Linked DNA regions of Schizosaccharomyces pombe. The protein of the gene in region 2 interacts with the protein of the main gene of each other region in a biochemical or structural test. Each region holds a gene or a part of one and is shown on either strand. Other genes may lie near its edges.

Region 1 (3,835 bases), on a different chromosome or scaffold from region 2:
TGCTTGCTCAGAACTTGAAATGTAACTTTGAATGCCATTTTGCGGAGGGGATTCTGAGAGAACAGAAATGTTTTGTTGCCATGTACTAAGAGGTTGTCGATCAGCTGACAATAAAACATTACCTGTAGTGAATACTTTCCGTTCACCAACTCGACAAGCATCAATAGGATTTAAAGGAGCGGTTGAAAACTGATAGTTGTTTTCGTTATTAACAAAGTTGGGGAAGATATTTTGAGTATCCGTAAGATAATCAATTGAGTTTGATTCACTAGATTTGGTAGCAGATAGTTGAATATTTCTGATGGGTGAAGGACCACTCAAAAGTAAAGTACTCTTGGGAGGGTAATGCTCGTTAGTAGAGAGTAATGGTGAGTCAAGAAGACTTGAGGGCAAAGCATGCATTGTTTTCTCCATATCAACTTGAAAAGTTGAATCAGATGGAGAAGGGGAGGTGATTGATAAAGGTGATTCGGTTTCCATAATCATTTATGTGTTAAAACGGCAACAATAAAGCTGGCCGATAATCCTTAAAATAGATAAAGAGTAAAAAAAATTACTTAATGACTAATAACTTATAAAACTTTGTTTAGAAGTGGTAAGAAAGGGAGAGAAAGGAACTGCAAAGGATTAAGTTAATACAAACTTTAAAAGACCAGAAAGTTGAAAAGAAAGGAAGGGGTTAGATGGTTGTTAGTAAATCAAACAAACGATGAGAAAATGCAAAAGAACAAAAGAATAATGAAATGAAAAGAAAAAATCAACAATAAATCACAATTGTCGTTCAAATGTATATAATCAAACGAAAAGAATAACAACCAAGATTTGAACAAACAAACTTGTCTTTCATAAAATTAACAAAAGAATAACAAACGTTAGAGGAGGAGAAATTTTCGGGATAAAACTAGGAAACTACCCTTTAATTTTTTTAAAAAAAAAAGAAAAAGATGGGATATTGTCACCACAGAAGAAAAGCGCAAGTAAAAATTTAAAATAATCGATTAGAAACTTTACACATATATACAAGAAAAAATGTATATGCGTATATGAAGAGAAAATGGATTGGAATCGTATATATATAAATGTATATATACGTATCAGTTAGGTTGCAAAAAAAGGAATTAAAAAGTGAAGCACACGAAAAAAGGGGAAGAAAGGAATCGATTCTAGGACAAAGAAGAGAAAAAGATATCAGGGAATGACAATAACGATTCAAGAAAAATTGGTAAAGATCAAAATGAGGATTCAAGAATACAGCCAGAAAATGTAGATAATGTGGTAAAAGATATAATTTGAACTTTCTTTGCGAATGCCTACTATGGGCTATTTTCAACAAGGAATGGGAAAGCGATGGTTGGTCTCGGAGTGGGCACAAGTAATTAATAAACAAACAAACAAAGAAAAGAGAAGTAGCAACTGCGTTCAAAGGTAACAAAGATGCGGGTGGGGATTTTAAGAAGGAAAGAAATGAATTAGATAAATAAACGTATCAATGTTTTGTTACGGTCGATAGGTTTATTGGCGCGGATGATGGCAGCTGTGTGTCCTATTAAGATGGAAAATGCGAACGGTAAGAGAAACAATTGGCAAGGATGGAGTAATGGAAAAGAAGTAAATGCACGATGTATAAAAACTTAAGTTTTTTCCATATGGTTTTTCAACTAACTAGAGGTGTAAAAAAAAAAAAAAAAAAAAAAAAAGCAATTTCCCTTTCCTTTTTTAAAATGGGGTATATATTTTTTGCTTTCTCTATTACAAAGGAACGTTAAGTTTCAGACAAACAAAATATACGACAGCCTAAATGGCAGCAGCGAAACAAAACAAAAACGATGCAATGCAATGCGATGCTTTTCAGTACAAATCAAAAAGCCAGCCCAAAATAGTTCTGTAAAGATAATTACAACAATCTGTCCGGCCGGATTGCTGGAGGAAGGATGGATTGTATGTTGGGAATAATGAGAGGGCTTGGATGCTTTATAATGAGATACAGTAATTAGAGAACAAAGAAGTTATTTCAAAGAAATCACAAAGTCAAAAAGGACTTTATTTGCTCGCAAATATTACGACAATTACTGGGAGAATGCTTGATTGAATGGGACGTACTGTTTATGCTACCCCTGCCTTTGTCCCGTGTAACACAAAGTGGGAAGAGTAACAAAGAAACGAAGTAAGCCAAGTAAACAAAGAATCTCAACAGCAGCTTTCAGTGGCGAAAACAAAGCGTTGAAAACAAAGGGAATCAACGAAATTTATAGACCTACGATGAAAATTTCAGTAGCCTTTACTGTTAGGCATTTACTGTGAACGTTTTTGCAATGCCCCTGAGGGGCTAGCTCGAGAAGGGTTTGTAAAACAAAGAAACTTTAAAATAGGAACAAAGAAATCGGTCGGCTTTCGTTACTCTATCTAAAGTTATGATGCGATGTCAGTAAGCTCTAATATAAGAGGACGATAATGGAAAAAAAATCCCATAAAAAGCGGGACAACTGATCCAATTTGGACAGATTGAAAGCCAACGCGACTCGCGTTAGATAGAGTAAATAGCGAGAAACGCTAAATGCATTTTCTTTTATGGTGTTTGCTTTGTCTACTGAAGCAAAAGGCTATTTATTCAAATCAGTGGTAATTAGTGTATAGCTTGTAAAGGTAAGTTAGTCCTTTTGAAAGTTTGAAAAAGATGATAGATAAAAAACAACGTTGTATCCATCCCGAAAAACATGGACAAGTCAAAGAAATCACATTTTTTATTTGCCTTCATTAGTGTAGTAATCTCCACCTTGCTGTATAATTCGGTAAGGATTTCTTTTGTTATTTACGCGTGCTTTTTTCCATACATCTTTTTTCGCCAATGCAAAACCCTCTTTTAACAGTGTTTCTTCTTTCAACCCTTATTCAGCGCATGCGTCTCCTATATTTGCGCGTTTTACACAGAGGTCGTTTGACATCCAGATTGTTCTCTGGCATGAAAGATAACTACATCATTTAATATTAGCAACTTGCTCACTTTCTTTTCTTTTCACATAAACTATAAAGCTGTTCGGCAATTAAAATTCCCCACTGAAATCCAATTAGCCAACGATCAAACTAGATCGCATTTATTGAGTGATTTGAAAACAATGCTTTATGCGCAAAAGTGGAGAAGGTAAATGTAGACAACCTCACGTTTTTGTTTATAAACATTAGTAAACGCCGCATTCGATTTTAATGTATCACGTATAAATCGGTAAATATGTGTGTACCACGGTTGTAGAAGTGCTCGAAGACAAGTAAGAAGGAAGCATTAATAACTTTTGGCAATTAAAAAGAGGTTGGGAATTCAGAACAAAAAAAGAGTAAAAGCGATATATTTATTCTATTCCAAAAGATTTGTATGCATGTATAAGAGATTTTAAGGCTGATGATGGTTTTTGATTATACTTTGGGTTTACATTATTTTTGTTTTGTTCTGTTTTGTTTGTTTTGTTTTGCTTTCGTATACACTCTATTTTTTTTTAAACGTAAAATGATCATTAGCGATGTTGCTTCAGTAAAGCGAGAGTCAGTGAACAATGGTTAGATTAAAGCTTTGCTGAGTAAATATTTTTTGGCTTTCTTATTAAAGGTCTTATAAGAAACATATGTGTATTTTTTGTTTTATTGCTTAGCCAGTTTACTATTTTTGGGACAATGCGTTTCGTAAACGTTTATGATGTTTGATGTACGTGACGAATTGTTCAAAAGTTAAATTTTGAGGTTTAAAAAAAATGAAGGCCTGAGAAACCGCTTCTATCTCTATGGTTGTTTATATCACCAACAAATGTCAATTGAGAATTTGAGGAAAGAACAGAAACCTAAGAGG
Region 2 (3,600 bases):
AATTTCGATTTCAGCTTTCATATCCCCTGGTCATTAACGCGATTACTCTTACTCAGGTTGTTCGGCTGTCTACTGTGTTAAAGCAATAAAGAAAACACTACTTTTATCTGATTAGAAATCGAACCAAAATTAAAAAATTTATCTTTTATTCATTCTACACAAGTTTGGATTGTATTCTTATTTTTTTTATTTTATTTTTTTTTTAATTAAAAACTTCGAAATTCTATAAACAAACGTTGAATTGTCGAATTTGGATTTTATTTTTTCTTTAACCACCATTTTTTATTCTTACTAATATCCTCCCTTCCACCATCCTCGTTTTCTTTTACATTTGTTTTCCCTTCTTCCTCTTGGATTCTTATCATCTCCCGTGTCTAAAAGTTTCCATCTTACTCGTTTTTCTAACAAAGAAATCACTATTTCTCATCGCGACGAGCATTAGTCATATTTGAGTCGCGTTTCCTTTTCCTCTTTTTTAATTTATTATTTTTTTTTTGTTTTATTTATTTATTCTTTTTCACTTTCGTCTTTGGTTCTTGTTCGCGTCTGCTTTTCCTTTCTTTGTTCTTTCCCCTAGCCTCTTCGATTAGAGATAGATACTTCTTTCCATATCCAAACTTACTACTTCTCTGCTTTTCCCCAATGTAAATGGGAATTACCCTGAACGATTTCTTGTAAATTCCTTTGTGCTTGATGAAAATACTTTTCAAGAATTCTCTTCTCTCGGCTTTTCTTAATTACTCGATTTTTTCATTTTACATTCACAAATCCATATTGCTGTGCATACTTATTGACATTAGGTGAACTCATCTCTTTTTTCCCCAGTCCAACTCTTCCACCTAAGTCTATTGACTTACTCGCAAGCGTTGATTGTCGATTGTGTTTCCTTCTCATCCCCTCTCTTCTTTTTAAACCGAACATTCTATTCTCATTTTTACCTCAATTTGGAAAGGATATACTACTAGGTAAAAATTAATTCTACTTTTCTCCCCCATCTTTAACCGACTACTGACCTGTACATTTTCCCGATTTCTCTTACTGTTCCTTTGGAAAATCGTTGTGTGTCTTGTTTGTACGTTGATCTTTAGAGTTTCCTTTGATTATCTTGAGCATTCTTACTTTTTATTCCCTGCTTAAAATACTAATCATCATTTTTCCCGGTTTTTTATTCACATTCCCTTCTCACTTCCATTCGTTGTACTCAAAAGGACCTGTGCTTTTTAATCATAAACATTATATATTATTCGTTTTAACTCTTCCTTCCACAATTGCATTTCCCCTTTTCTTTATTAATTTTGTTTCTTGCATGTTGGTCGTTTTCTCTGTGATTGGCGTATTCGATTCTCTTTTTCATTCTTCGTTGTCGTATTTTTTACCTGCTTACAATTGAAAAAAAAATTTTTTTCTTGTAAATTCCCTTATATTATTAAACCTCAAACGATCAAGATAAAACCTATCATTGTGTTATTGACTATTTTCCTGTTTATAACGATCTTTGTTTTTTTTATCATTGATTTTAGAAGACATTAGAAAATCTAACCTTTCTCAAAGTTTTTTTTTTGTTTCGGTTGCAAAGTTCTTTAAGCTATTCAAAACTTTATCATCCGAAATACTTATTTTCTATTTTCTTATCTAATTTTCGCCATCAATTGGGACTTTATTTAATTTATCTTTACTAAACATTAGATGATGCGCGAAAATCCAGAACTCCTTTTGGGTCAGGTCTTGGGTGATTCTTTACGATTTGTTTCTATCATCGGTGCCGGTGCTTATGGTGTCGTGTACAAAGCAGAAGACATTTACGACGGTACCTTGTATGCAGTAAAGGCTTTATGTAAGGATGGCTTAAATGAAAAGCAGAAGAAGTTACAAGCTCGCGAACTTGCCTTACATGCTCGTGTTTCTTCACATCCTTATATTATTACATTGCACCGCGTGTTAGAAACGGAAGACGCCATTTATGTCGTTCTCCAGTATTGTCCGAATGGCGACCTTTTTACTTACATCACGGAGAAAAAGGTATATCAAGGGAATAGTCATTTAATTAAAACCGTTTTTTTACAGCTTATTTCTGCTGTTGAACATTGTCACTCAGTTGGCATATATCATCGAGATCTTAAACCCGAAAACATTATGGTTGGAAATGATGTAAACACCGTATACTTAGCTGATTTTGGTCTGGCTACTACAGAACCCTATTCAAGTGACTTTGGATGTGGTAGTCTGTTTTACATGTCTCCAGAATGTCAACGGGAGGTGAAAAAACTTAGTTCGCTGTCAGATATGCTACCGGTAACTCCTGAACCTATAGAATCACAATCATCCAGCTTTGCTACAGCGCCAAATGACGTCTGGGCTCTGGGAATTATATTAATTAATCTGTGTTGTAAGAGGAACCCTTGGAAGCGTGCATGTTCTCAAACTGATGGTACTTACCGTTCCTACGTTCACAATCCATCAACCCTTTTATCCATTTTACCCATCAGTAGAGAGCTCAATTCTCTACTCAATCGAATTTTTGATAGGAATCCCAAAACCCGAATCACATTACCCGAACTTTCCACGCTAGTATCAAACTGTAAGAACCTTACACGACGTTTACGACCTGCTCCCCTTGTTTCATCTCGTTATCTCGCATACCAACAACAACAACAACAGCAACAAATGAATTTGCAACAAGGAATTCAAGGTTACCCTCATCAAGGCTATATGCCGACTCAAAACATTGGCTTTCCCTGGCCTCCGACTCCCCAGTTTGTAAGTAATTGGAATCATTGTGCTACTCCAACGATCCCTGTCTCCTTACAAGTCCTTACACCAAATTCTTCACTTAAAGTAGATCCGACTACACCTCTTACAGCACCTATTCATGCAACCGAATCATTCTGGCCTTCTGCCGCAGCGGCGGCAGCAGCTGTCCATAACAATGCTAACTCATATATGCCTATTACACCCACACCCTATCCGAATAATGCAAAAATTTTCGGTTATCCTAATCAACCTCCGCTGACTCCCATACCTTTTACTGGATTCGTTTTGCATCCTGCACCAGTTGGTCGTGCTGCTGATGCCGTAGATCCATCTCGAAAATCGCTCTAAAGTTACTTGCTTCTTTTTTATATTCGCTACCGCACGTTGTTTTGTTCAGGGTTACTGCAAAACATTATAGAGGGCTTTGACTGCCCCAATAATTATTTCTCGGGATTTGAATTTTAACATTGTGTAAATAGCTAACATTTTATGCACTTGTTTTATACTTATATTTCTTCTTTTTTATATGTTTATTATGATGGTAGCATTATCTTTTTCTGTTAACAACATTGATGAATTTTTTTTGCTTGTGGTTTGTTCTTTAAAACAAAAATTTTTTTATAAATATATACTTAAAAAAAAAAAAAAGAAAAGGTAGACGAATGGATCGTTTTAACGACGGTTGTAATAGTAAATTTAAAGAGTTTAGAGCATGAAGCATGCAGTCATATTGTATCACCGCTATACTCGAAATGTTGAAGAGATAAAGCAAACTAAGCTTTTGGAATACGAAGATAGAAGGATATTATTCATAACTTGTAATAATATTGTTAAAAGTTAAAATATTAA
Region 3 (3,835 bases), 2.3 Mb from region 2:
AAACGGTTCTTAGAATTAATTAGAAAGATGATTCAGTAAGAACAAAGCAAACATAAATGAAGTTCGCAGTCAGAAAGAACGAAGTAGAAAAGAAGCGAACAGCACAAACCGAGGGAGAGGGGATGAGATCAGAAAACAGTAAAGAAATAAACACCGAATAAAAACTGGTGTGAAGGATTTTTTTCTATTTAAAAAAAGAAAAATGGTATTAAGATAGAAAGAAATCTCAAACTAACAAGAATGAAAAATGAACAAATTATTCACAGTGAAGTAACAGATGAATATAGTAAAAGTAAAATTCCCTTGTATGTATCAACAAATAAATGAAAATAAAATTTCCGTCAATCTAGATATTAAACAAGCTTGTTCGCCAAAGAAATCAAGTTCAAGCTTAATGAATAGAGACTGACTGGACTAAAAAAAAGAAAAAAGTGACAAAAGTATATTTGATGCCAGGTTTTTCCTAAACGAAAAAAGTAAGGTAATGAAATAATAAATGAAACTAATGGAATTTCCAGCTCAAGAAGAAAAAAACAGAAGCAACACTCAAAGCCGATTTGAAAAATGTAAAGAAGCGTAGAAAAAAAAAGATGAAAGTTGAGACTGAAAAGTTACTAGATCGAGTTGGAATGATGAAGGATATTTTTCGTAAAGGCGATTGAATCAAGGATAACTTGAAAGAGACAATTAGTAGAGGTCCAAGTGGAAGAAGGAGTGAAAGTGATATATAATAGAAGGCCACAAGAAAAAAATTGAAGCTTTAAAAGTGATTTTCTTATAAGCCTAATTTTAAGTTGAGGAGATTTGAAAACGAGAACAAAATCACGAGCCTCTAAGGCTTTTTTTTCTCTATATAAAACGGAGGAAAAACTAAAAACAAGAAAGAGCGGAATAGTTAACAGGAAAAACAGACGAAACGGAAGACTAAATAACGGAAAAGTGAGTCAAATAAAAAGGCGTAACAAGGGAGAAATTTCAGAGACACCGATAACTGAAGAATGGTTGAGCTCTGTAAGATGGTGAAACTTTGGGTATACAAATAAAGTGAGGAATACCAATGAATACGTGAATAATGCGACAATGACAGGGGAGAAATAATGTTATAACATGAGCCAACAAAGACCGATGGTGAATGCAACTTAATTCTGAATGGTGTGTACTAATGGAATCACAAAAGAAACACGTTAAAAAAAGGATATTAAAATAAAATGAGGAATGAAAATCTAATAGATCAGATATCAAGGATAAGCAGCCAAGCGATAGAATAACGATGCGAATAAAAAAAATTTAAAGTTGGGCAAAAATTGCAACAAAGAAACAACTTAGTTAATTAGTAGAGAGAAAGTTGATAAAGGATAACTATGGTGGTAGAGACAAAGAAATATATAAAAAAATTTTGACGTAGAAAAAAAATAAAAAAAAGGGGGGGATTCGACGTACAGTAAGGGAATCGACGTAAAAATTAAAAAAAAAGATAAAATCCTTTTGATTTCAAGAAACGAAAAAATTATTCCAACACTTCTCAATTAACAATTCCAACAGAGGAGGATCCCAAAAGAACGTAGAGGCAAGAAAAACGAGAAAAGTTTGAAGAGAGAAGCGAAGCCAATTGGACCAACAAAATGAAGAAACAGAATAGAAGAAGAAAAAAAAGTTTAAGTCTGTTTACTATAAAGAAAAGAAGAGATGTGAATAAAAATTAATCAACAAATTAAACTTAGAAATAGTCAGTGAAAATAAGTCAAAGTAAAGTCAAAACAAAGAAAAGAATAGAGCTAAGCCAAAGCAAACCAAGATAAAGGAATAGACTTAACACGAATAGACAGGAAAGAATGGGAGGAGGCAAGCTAATTCAAAGACGACAAGCTGCAATCAAGACAAAGACCAGAAAAGTTAAGTTAAGTTGAGTAAAAAAAAAAAAGAAAACAAAGAGAAAACAAAAAAACGAGGCAAAAGCTCTCAAAGAAAAATAAAATGCAAACTAATCAAATGAAATACTTTCTTTTAGCATTCACAATCAGGTTTAAGATTGAAAAGTCAGAATGCTAATAATGCTTTGTTTATTTGATAATAAAGAAAATCCAATATACGACGCGAAACAATTCAACGCTGGATATCCTTTTAATATATGCTAAATGAATAGATTCTCACTATGTAAGTCACCAGGTATGTATGTATATATATATATATATACATACGCATTGGCAACCAACTAGTAAGAGTATAGAGCGAGGCGTAATACGCGATGTTACTGACAATGAAAATCAAACAAAGAAATTCAACTTTTTTAAGTCTAGCCAAAATGTGTATGAGGGGAAGGGACAAAATTCACAGGGGTTAAAGTAACATATGATGCGAAAGCATTTGTCACTTTTACTTGCCTACAAACGATGTAACACAGCAAACAAAGTCAGGGATTCCCCCCTGTACAAAAGATTAGTGTGGCACTTGGCAAAAAGTCTCGCAAAGCTACTTTTCGTTGAGGGAGATAGCGCAAGGCAAAATGACAAGAAGCCAACGACTAGTCTTCCAATGAATGAGGAATTGTAGAACGCTGGGGAAGTTGGAGAGTTAAGGAGGGGTGGAGAAAGCAAAATAGAGTAAGCGGGCATTTGAAGAGCGGCAATTTGCGAAACCGCAGGGTATTATAGGTAAGGTTTAAGCAAATGTTAAAAGAATAAAAAAGCATAGCGAATGTGTGAAAACAAGTGCCGGCAGTTTGAGTAGTAAGCAAGTGATGAGGAAGTAGTTTGGGGTGAACGGAACGGGAGTGAAATAAGAATGGCGAAGACTTGGAGTCATGATGAAAAATACAGGTACTACGAGCGGAAGGAAAGAAACCACACACATACAATGATTCTATCGAGTCATTGCCATTGGAATTTTGCTACAATTTACCGAAAATTAGGCGTGGGTGCTTGTGTTTCCCTTCCATCATCCCTGGAGATGGCATGCACCACAAATAATCTATCGCTACAGTGATAGACATGTAAGATGGAGAACAAGAATGTCGGAAAGGTAAGTGCTGTGGTAGTACAGGGTGATTTGCATAAGAATGACATTTTTTTAGCAAGATCATAAAATGGGAAACGCGATGGAAGAGACTATGTGAGACACAATGTATGCTGTAAAAGTATAATCTTATTATATTAAAAAAAGAACGACGAATAAATTGAGAAAGGTGAAAATTTCAAAAAAAAAATAAATGGAATGGAAAAAAGAAATAAAACCATTGAAAACGATAAAAGTCCAAAGACTAGACATTATTTTAGAGAAGGAAATGAATGCTACTTGAATTTGTGCAAAGTAGCTTTGACTTATGCAATGTAATAGAAAATAGGAATTGCCGCCAGATTAGCGTATGTGTGCGTACAACTTGAGATATGCGCTAATTTCCATTGCATATCACCCAATCGCACTATTAACCTGGGCTTTTGTAAGAATTGAGCGAGCGACCAGCAAAACAAGGTTGAGCTTAAAAGGTGGATGACCCGCCGAGTCAGAAAATGGCGGCCGGCAAGATGCAGAGAGGAAGGAGACGATAGGAAGGAGAGATGGGAGAAAGTAGAGGTAAAGATGAAGATGAAGATGTAGATTAGTTATAGATGAAGACGAGTTTTGAATGAAAAAGGTTACTACTGAACGATAACGAATTTAATTTGAAAACGAATATAATTTTTTGAAAACGACTATACTTTGAAAATAACCTAAACCGATAAATTTATAGCTAAAAACTTCACAAATTGTATTGTGGAATGTTTTCTTACATATCACCAAAATTGCATCCTTTTGGAACTGGACTCTGCTAGCCAACTGTGCTTATCATTGTTGACTT

The links.
Region 1: of the proteins of pat1 (region 2) and mei2, one has a biochemical effect on the other in vitro, tested with the Schizosaccharomyces pombe proteins (one study listed by BioGRID).
Region 3: of the proteins of pat1 (region 2) and ste11, one has a biochemical effect on the other in vitro, tested with the Schizosaccharomyces pombe proteins (one study listed by BioGRID).

What each region holds. Positions count from the first base shown.
Region 1 is NC_003424.3:4,512,807-4,516,641, forward strand, and holds the start of mei2 (RNA-binding protein Mei2), read right to left. Parts: upstream 2,220-3,835; 5' UTR 487-2,219; coding exon 1-486. UniProt on the Schizosaccharomyces pombe protein: Crucial for commitment to meiosis but it is not sufficient itself for the commitment. May be a splicing regulator.
Region 2 is NC_003423.3:1,681,175-1,684,774, forward strand, and holds pat1 (serine/threonine protein kinase Ran1/Pat1), read left to right. Parts: upstream 1-1,686; coding exon 1,687-3,099; 3' UTR 3,100-3,381; downstream 3,382-3,600. UniProt on the Schizosaccharomyces pombe protein: This protein is a negative regulator of both sexual conjugation and meiosis. It phosphorylates mei2. It blocks the onset of meiosis until conjugation takes place.
Region 3 is NC_003423.3:3,981,690-3,985,524, reverse strand, and holds the start of ste11 (DNA-binding transcription factor Ste11), read right to left. Parts: upstream 2,150-3,835; 5' UTR 1-2,149. UniProt on the Schizosaccharomyces pombe protein: Key transcription factor for sexual development. Activates the transcription of the matp, matm, mei2, mfm, ste6 and rgs1 genes. Binds specifically to a DNA fragment carrying a 10-base motif 5'-TTCTTTGTTY-3'.